2 linked regions of the Pelodiscus sinensis genome follow. The protein of the gene in region 1 purifies or fractionates together with the protein of each later gene. This does not show direct contact. Links are inferred from orthologs where the notes say so. Each region holds a gene or a part of one and is shown on either strand. Other genes may lie near its edges.

Evidence for each region.
Region 2: the proteins of NEURL4 (region 1) and CCP110 purify together in Homo sapiens (affinity purification with western blotting; 4 studies listed by BioGRID and IntAct, with this or other methods). This does not show direct contact. The link is inferred for Pelodiscus sinensis from reciprocal best matches to the Homo sapiens genes NEURL4 and CCP110.

The regions. Positions count from the first base shown.
Region 1 is NC_134734.1:9,809,418-9,813,331, forward strand, and holds the start of NEURL4 (neuralized-like protein 4), read right to left. Parts: upstream 2,662-3,914; 5' UTR 2,603-2,661; coding exon 2,429-2,602; intron 2,270-2,428; coding exon 1,891-2,269; intron 1-1,890. UniProt on the Homo sapiens protein: Promotes CCP110 ubiquitination and proteasome-dependent degradation. By counteracting accumulation of CP110, maintains normal centriolar homeostasis and preventing formation of ectopic microtubular organizing centers.
Region 2 is NC_134726.1:21,046,666-21,050,579, forward strand, and holds the start of CCP110 (centriolar coiled-coil protein of 110 kDa), read left to right. Parts: upstream 1-912; 5' UTR 913-1,013; intron 1,014-1,040; exon of another isoform or gene 1,041-1,765; intron 1,766-3,914.

The sequences.
Region 1 (3,914 bases):
AGGGAATGTGGGGCCAGTGGGAGTCCCCCGCCACACCTGCGAGGCTTCCATTTTTGAACTGTAGCAAGAGCCTGGCAGGGCTCCTGCTATAGTTCAAAGGCAGAGGTGCCCTTATAGACTAATAGAATAGTCAATGGAAATCCCATCAACTATTCAATTAGTTACTTGATCTAAATTTAATATCTCTAAACACACATTTACATACATATATATAAGCAGTGTGCATGTGTGGAAGAAAATATATTCAAACAAGACACCTGTCTCTCGTTGCTGTGAGTTATCTATACCACAAAGGTGCTGTGCAAAGGTAGGGAATTAGCCTTCTTCCACTGGAGGAAGAGTAGAAGCCCCAGAACAAATTAACACATCACTTCAGGATTTGTAGACAGATGCATGTTTCAAAGAGCTTACAAATAAGGATTCATCCTACAAAACTTGCTACTTTGTGTCACAAGAGACAGAACTCTATCACATAGCAAAAATCTGGCCGTAATGCAACAATTTATCATGTATTAATTAGCAACACAGGATTTTTAAAAAGAATCATTAAATTCAGAGTTTTAGAGATCTACAATGCTTCAAACAAATCTGTTAAAAGAATCTTTTTCTTTCTTACCTTAAGCCATTAACACCCAAGTAAACTTTGTTTGAAATGTAATCATGCAAATGTCCTCCTGGCACACAAACCCCCCATACAGCCGGCTCTCCCCACCCCCAGCTTCTAACCCAGCCAGGGAGGATGGCAGCAAGTGAATCATGATACCCCAAACAGTCCTCCACCTCCACTTTATTGCACAGATGCCAGCATCCACCCACTCCCTCTTTCCCCCACCTCCCCCTTCCCAGCCTAGAAGGGTTGAAGAGACTGCTGGGTTTCTGCCTCCCCCTGCTCGGGCAGACAGGACTCTCCAAATTCCCCTCCCCTCTGTCTTCCCCCAAGCCAATTAATTACTCACTCACTCAGTCCTTCCTCCAGCCACTTATTCTGTCCTTATCTCGCCTGCTTATCTGCTCTGGGAGCTCTTCAGTTCAAGCAGCACAGCTCCTTTAACTGCTGCTTACAGTCACCCCACACCCCACTGGTCAGCTGAGCTCCCTGCCTGGGTGGGAGCTTTGAACCTCTGAGCAGGGGTCAGAAAATAGATGCGCAGTCGTGCAGCTTAGAGGAAACTTAGCACAGAAACTGTGCCAGACAGATAAACCCGCATTTCAGCCTATCAACTCCATAAGATTAACAAGACCCCACAGTGGTTGTGATGCTGATACCAAGTGGCAGATGGCATAAGGCATGTAGAAGAGTTCACAGGAATCCCTTGAATCTGATGTCTGTACAGAAGCCATCAAAAAGTAGAATGTGATGTTTCTACACACAGCAACATACTAGATGTACAGAGAGGTGATATTTACCGAGTTGTGTGTCTATACTGAAAATTATATTAAGAGTCTGGGTATTGGGAGCACCAGGCATGAAACAATAGACCTTACTCTTTGTTTATTCGGCCTCACAGTCCTCGTACATATTTCTATTTACATACAGCACCTCTGGCTAATCAAACCTAGGACACCGAAAAGCAGTGCTCCCTGTAAGCTGAGCATTTGGGCGGCCACCCAAGAGAATCAAATGCCACCCAGCTGATTAGCAGAGTGCCTACAGCTAGCAGCAGCCAGCAGCATGTGTTTCTACTGGTGGTGCAAATCCATACATGTCTCGGTGTATCTAACAAAATTTATTCTGCACACGGAAAAAATTAGAGGCAACAGTGCCAACAATAAAAGAGCATCTAGGAAGAGAAAAGCAGCATGGGGAAGTGTGCTGTTAAAGTAAATACAGTAGTATGGACAGAGATAGTATATGGTGACTCTGGGGCAGACAGAGAAGAAGTTCTCTACCTTCATCTCCTGCAGCTCCTTCCTCAGTCTCCTCTGGCTCACAGGGCACAACAGTGACCTGCGTACACTTGCCGTAGAGATCCACCACAGCCCAGACTCGGGGCGGGATGCCGGTGGCGGCCACACCGCAGTCCTGACCGTTTACCCAGAGGTGCAACTCCCCGTTGGCAGTGCGCTGGATGCCCACCCGGTCACCCTCACCCAGCTGATCCAAGTCCTGGCCATACTCCTCAAGGATGGAGCGCCCATCCCGCAGCACTGAGCAGCCAGAGATGACCCATGAGCCACCTTTCAGCCCTGTGGCACTGCTGGGGAAGTCCAAGTGGTCGGGGTCCAGGGCAGTCACCCCAATCTCAATGGAGCCGCTCCACGAGTTCACCTGAATGGTGGAGAGATGGAGAAAGTCAGCACCTGGCTTTCCGTGGGGAGCCCACAGCAGCCGGGTCCAGCCCCAACATGCCCCCTCCCGCTCGTCCACCGCCACCCAGATCGAGCCACTCTCAGCTCTTCCCCCTCCCCCGGCTCCAGCCCCCTGCACCTTGCGGTCGATGCGCACGGCGAAGACGCGACCCGGCCGCAGCGGCTCGCGGCTCAGCACCAGCCCGTGGTTGAACTCCTGACCCGGTTGGGACCGGGCGGCGCTGCGACCCCCTTGCGCCAGCGTCACCAGCTTCCCCGTACGCGGGTGCAACTCCGCGCCCGGGCCCGACATCCCGCCCACCGCGTTTTGCGGCAGCGCCGCGGCCGCTGCGCTTTACGGCCGTGTCGCTAATCCCCACGTCGTACCGCCACCACGCTTTACGGCATCGTCGCTGACGCTTACCGAGCGTCGCTGCGCTTTACAGTAGCGTCCCTCCTCAGCGAGACGTCCAACGCCGTACCGCTCTTCACAGAGTACCGCCGCGCTTTACGGCAGCGCCGCGACCCTTTTAAACGTTGCGACTAGTTTTTATGACAGTGGCGCTATTTCTCTGACGACCCCGTCACGCTTTACGGCACCCTCGCGAAATCTCCGTCGATGGGTACCGCCTTTTTTCACGACAGCGTTGAGATTTCTGTCAGAAGGTTGTACCGCGGTTTACAGCAGCTTTTCTCGTACACAGCGTCACTTCGCTTTACGGCACTGCGGCCTCGCTTTGCAACTGTGTGAATTTTTGCCCTGAGTCCCTGGGCTTCACGGCAAGGAATGAACGATCGGTTTGCTTTTGCGATGTGTGGCCGGTTCGCTTTACGGCAGTGCTGTGTGCGACGCACCGCGGGGTGGCACTTTCTGTTGCTAGGGCTTCCCCCTGCCTCCTCCCTGTCCCTGCACCTCTCCAGCGGCACGGGGCAGCGAGTGGCAGAGCTTCGGAGACAGAGACCTTCTTTTACAGCACCGCAGTGCACCAGAGATGATTTGCTTGACGGCAGCTTGGCCACAGTGCTTTTTCCCTTTCTTACCGCCGTTGCCCGGGTTACGGGGACGGCGCGGCTGGAGAAGGGGCCGTGACGTAAGCGCGGCTCGTGCTGTGGCGATTGTGGTGAGGGAGGAGCTGCCGTTCCAGTGATGGTGCAGGTCAAAGAGCTCGTTCGTGCAAAGGCCTGGTGCAATTCTGTAGTAGGTGATTGCACGGATTATTTGTGCACCTATCTAATGCAAAGCAGGACCGTTTTTAATTAGTGCAAATTGGTGCAATTCACTACTGGGAATACTAGGTGCAAATACAGTTAGTGCAAGAAATATCTAGGGCAAATGTGCAATTTTAATTAGTGCTAGTAATTTACTAGGGCAAATATTTGTGCAAACAATAAATTTAATGCATATAATTGGTGCATTTACAAGTGTATTTCACTAAGCTTGTGTTTTTTATCCTTACCCCGTCCTGTTAGTATGGCCTCATGTCACAGCAGGTTGATAGTTTCCTTGGGGTTGACAGCACTGTAAGAATTGCAAATAATTCGTGCCTTTGTGCAAATAATGAGTGCAAACAATTGATGCAAATAATTTGTGCACATGTAAATAGTGCAAATAAATAATACACATA
Region 2 (3,914 bases), on another chromosome or scaffold:
TAAGTCTGGCTGGCTGTATCCTGAGAAAACCAGTCCAACATATATAGGTCTGAAATAATTTATAATGATTAAGTGAGTCAGAAAAGTATTTTAAAATCTTTTGACAAGTTCTGTGTTATTTTAAGATAACAAAAGGCAGGCTCATAAGATTTAAATTGATAATTGGTGTAAAGATCATGCTACTGATGATAACTATTAGCCTGACTTTAATGCCTACCCCCCAAACTAAGTGTTTCTACAACTTTAAGATGACATAGCCTGAGCTTAGTGCGGTAGCGGTGTCTTCTTCCAACCTGCCACAATGCCTACTTGATGAACACTTTAGTAGCTGGTGTACCCAAGGCTGCTGAAGAGACAGGAGTGATGAATTCTTGAGAAAGTCTGAAAGCTTGAGTCTGATGACTCGTGTAAAAGAATAAAGCTGGAGTGTGAGTGATGCCTCTGTCCTAGGGCTGCATTGACATATTACAGTCCATCAAACTATCATCACCTCTGAAATGTGGTGTGGTGACACCTCTCCTAGAAGGTTATGGTGATGCAGTGTAAAGATGGTACTGATTTCAGGGTCCTTGAAATGATATTAGGACGGGTGCATATATTCCACTGAAAATCAGCACAGGTGCTGGAACAATGTGTACAGTCGGAGTGCTGAGAATCACTGACCCAAACTGCAAACCCCATGTATGATGAAAACTACATCAAGTGAAGGCGTGTGGTAGCACCTATGAATTGGGATGATTCTGGGAATATTAGCATGGGAAGCAAAACTCCCTACACCCGATATAAAATCGAAGTCATCTTCACATTCAATTGAGAAGTGCAGTACAGTGCACCCCGGCTCAAACTACAGAACCTTGCGCACAATGCTCCCTATTGAGGCAAGCTGCTTAGGGCTCAATAGGACTACCATTCCCAGCATGCAACCCTCAAATGGCGAGAGGAAGTGGTCGCGGAGAAGCACTGCATGCTGGGATTTGTAGTATCTCCGTCCCGCCCTTGGGCCGAACGGCTCGGTGAGTCGCCTGCAGCCGGAAGCTCTGAGGGGGTAGTGGGAAGGCTGGCGCTGGGGAGAGGGGCGGGGTGCGGCGGGATTTGCGGTTGCCAGGAGCCCGCTGCTGCCTGGCGGGGAGCGCTGCAGCGCGCTCTGTGCAGGGAACCTGGGTGCGCTGGGCCCGCCAGCAACGGATCCGCCACCGTGGGGGCCCGTAGCAGGTACCGGGGTCTGCCCCGGCCGCGGAGCGGAGTGTGCGCGCGCGCCGGGGCCTGCGGCTGATTCCGCGTCTCCTCCCCCCGCCTGGACCTGAGGGGCCGCCACCTCCGTAGGCGGGAACCCTCCAGAACTCCCTCTGCCTCACCGGCGTGTGGGGGGGGGGGAAGCCGCCGGCGTCTGACTTTCTCCCCATCCCCCCCTCCAAACCCCCCCCCCCCCGCCCGCTGCCCCTCGGTGTCAGCTGTGAGGTGTTCGGCGCTGGATAAAACGGGGCCCAGTCCCAAGAGGCGGCTGTAGCGGAGCCCAGGCTCCGGGGGAAGGTTTGAGTTGAGGGTGGGAGGAGCTGAGTGCTGTTCTTTTGGGGGGCGGGGAAGGCAGCTGCTTTCTGGGGCGGGGGGTTAGAGCAGGTGGACCAACCAGAATGAGGGGTTTGAATGAAGAGAGGGTGGGGGCTGCGTAGAAATCAGGAGACTGAAGCTTCAGGGAGGGGCTTCTTGGACGAAGGCAGTAACAAGAACGAGACAACCCAAAGGAGAGAGAGGACTAACATGTCTTGTGAGTTTCTTGCGTGGCTGTGAATTTTTAATTTGGACGGGGGCTGCCATATCAACATTGGTGGTGGTGGTTTGTGGTTGAACCAGTTTTATCATTTGTAGGGAATTTCCAGTTTCCATCCAGTTTGCAAGAGAGCCTGAAATTGAACATAGGCATTTGGGTTCTGCAAGGAGAGCTGATCTGGTAGAAGAGAGAGGTGATAGACAGCTGGCCCCCAATAACTTCTTGACCCCTAACCATCCTGAAAGCAAATCAGCACACAAGACCGTCACCAGCTGAGATTTTTTGCTTGGCTCAGTAATTTTTAGTACAAGTAGAATGTTATGGAGACTCCAAAAACAATCAGATTCAGTGACTCAAATCTTAATTTCCTCCTGCACATGGTTTGGGGGCTTTTGCTGAAAAGCCCACATTCTTCAGATTGGGTTATTTTTATAGCAGTTCTTCCTATCACTTAGTGCAGAAGGGCAGTGAATTTATACTGTGGAAAAAAGCAATTCTGTAAAGATGGGGAATAAGCAGTTTTGCTATTAGTAGCAGAATTTTCTTATCTTTTCTTTTGTTCTGAGCTCAAATTGTTGAGCTGGGGGGTCTTAAGCAGAGCCCCACTGCCTTCAAGGTTAATAACTTACCAACCCAGGAATGTGTTTGCTAATTTTAGGTACATCATCAGTAATTTACAGTAATGTAACACTATTTCTGTCCACAACTTCCAAACTTTGGTGTGGCTTTTCCCTTCAGTCTCAGAATTGCACAAATTGTTGTACAGAAGATTAAGAATACACTTTGTGATTTGTATCTCCTCCTCCCCCCCAGTAAAGCTGTAATTCCAGCAGTGATAACATTATCATCAGGATGCTGGAGTAAATTGCACCTGTTGGTTATAATGCCATTTTAGAATTCTAGTAATCTGTGGGGATTTTTAATAACCATATTTAATATCTGTGAGAACACAAGTCAAATAAATGTACTCATGGGTTTGGAAGGAGGATTTTGTGTATTAGTGGAGAGATGGGATAAAAAGTAATTTTAAAAAGATCATCAAAGATGTATTGCCCCCATTCTTTATTTGTTTAACCTTGTGTTCAGTTAAACAAGGTATATAGACTTTTGCAAGTTTTAAATCTGCCATGGTGTTAAAAATTCTTCAGGAACTAATTTTCATGGGCTTAGGGTGTCTTCAGGTTTCACCAATGGAATAATTATATCAATTCCAAATGTAAATATCAGGGCATGTAATTAAGTGCCCTTCTGTCCTCACTAGTGCTTCTCAGTCACCTGTAGTGAAAATGATTGTTACAGGTGTTTGATTAACTACAGCACCTGCAAATATGTCTTTGCCTTCTATTGTTAACTTAAGTGACTTATTTATAACAGTGCATTCTGTACTGTAAATCTTTATCATGGTACATCATAATTGAAGGGAACCATATATTCTTGTGATGAAATCATTATGATTTATATTGAGCTGCCTGTTTCTTTACTCACTCGAAAAAGCATTCAATGGAGGGTGATTTTTTTTGTAAAACAATACTACTGCATTCATCTTGCACTCATTGAAGGTGAAAACAATACAGGCAGTCCCCAAGTTATGTACAAGATAGGGACTGTAGGTTTGTTCTTAAGTTGAATTTGTATGTAAGTCGGAACTGGTACATATTGTAGGGGAAACTCTAGCCAAACATTTCTCCAGAGCTCAGTTTTATTCTCCCGCACCTCACTTCCCTCAGTCCTTTATTCTCAAGCTGAGGTGTCTGCTGAGAAAAGCCACTCTGCGTCTCCCTGGTCTGCTGAGGGGGGGAGGGGGGCGGCGGGCGCTAGCTTCGCGTCTCCCTGGTCTGCTGGGGGGAAGCAGCTAGTGCGGGGTTGTCTCACCCCGTTTGTAAGTAGGGATCTGATGTAAGTCGGATCCATGTAACCCGGGGACTGCTTGTATAAATCTTGTTAATTTTCTAAATTATTAGTTTTTAAAAACTTCAGGGTAGTTGATGCAAACTATCATCTTATAGCAAAGATAGTTTGAGCCAAACCATATTTACAATGTTAATTTGTTTTCCCACATTACTTGAGAGAGAATCTCTTTTCTGACCCTTCACCCTCACCAAGTAACAACAGCACTGCCTCCCACATATTTTAGGCACTAGTCTTT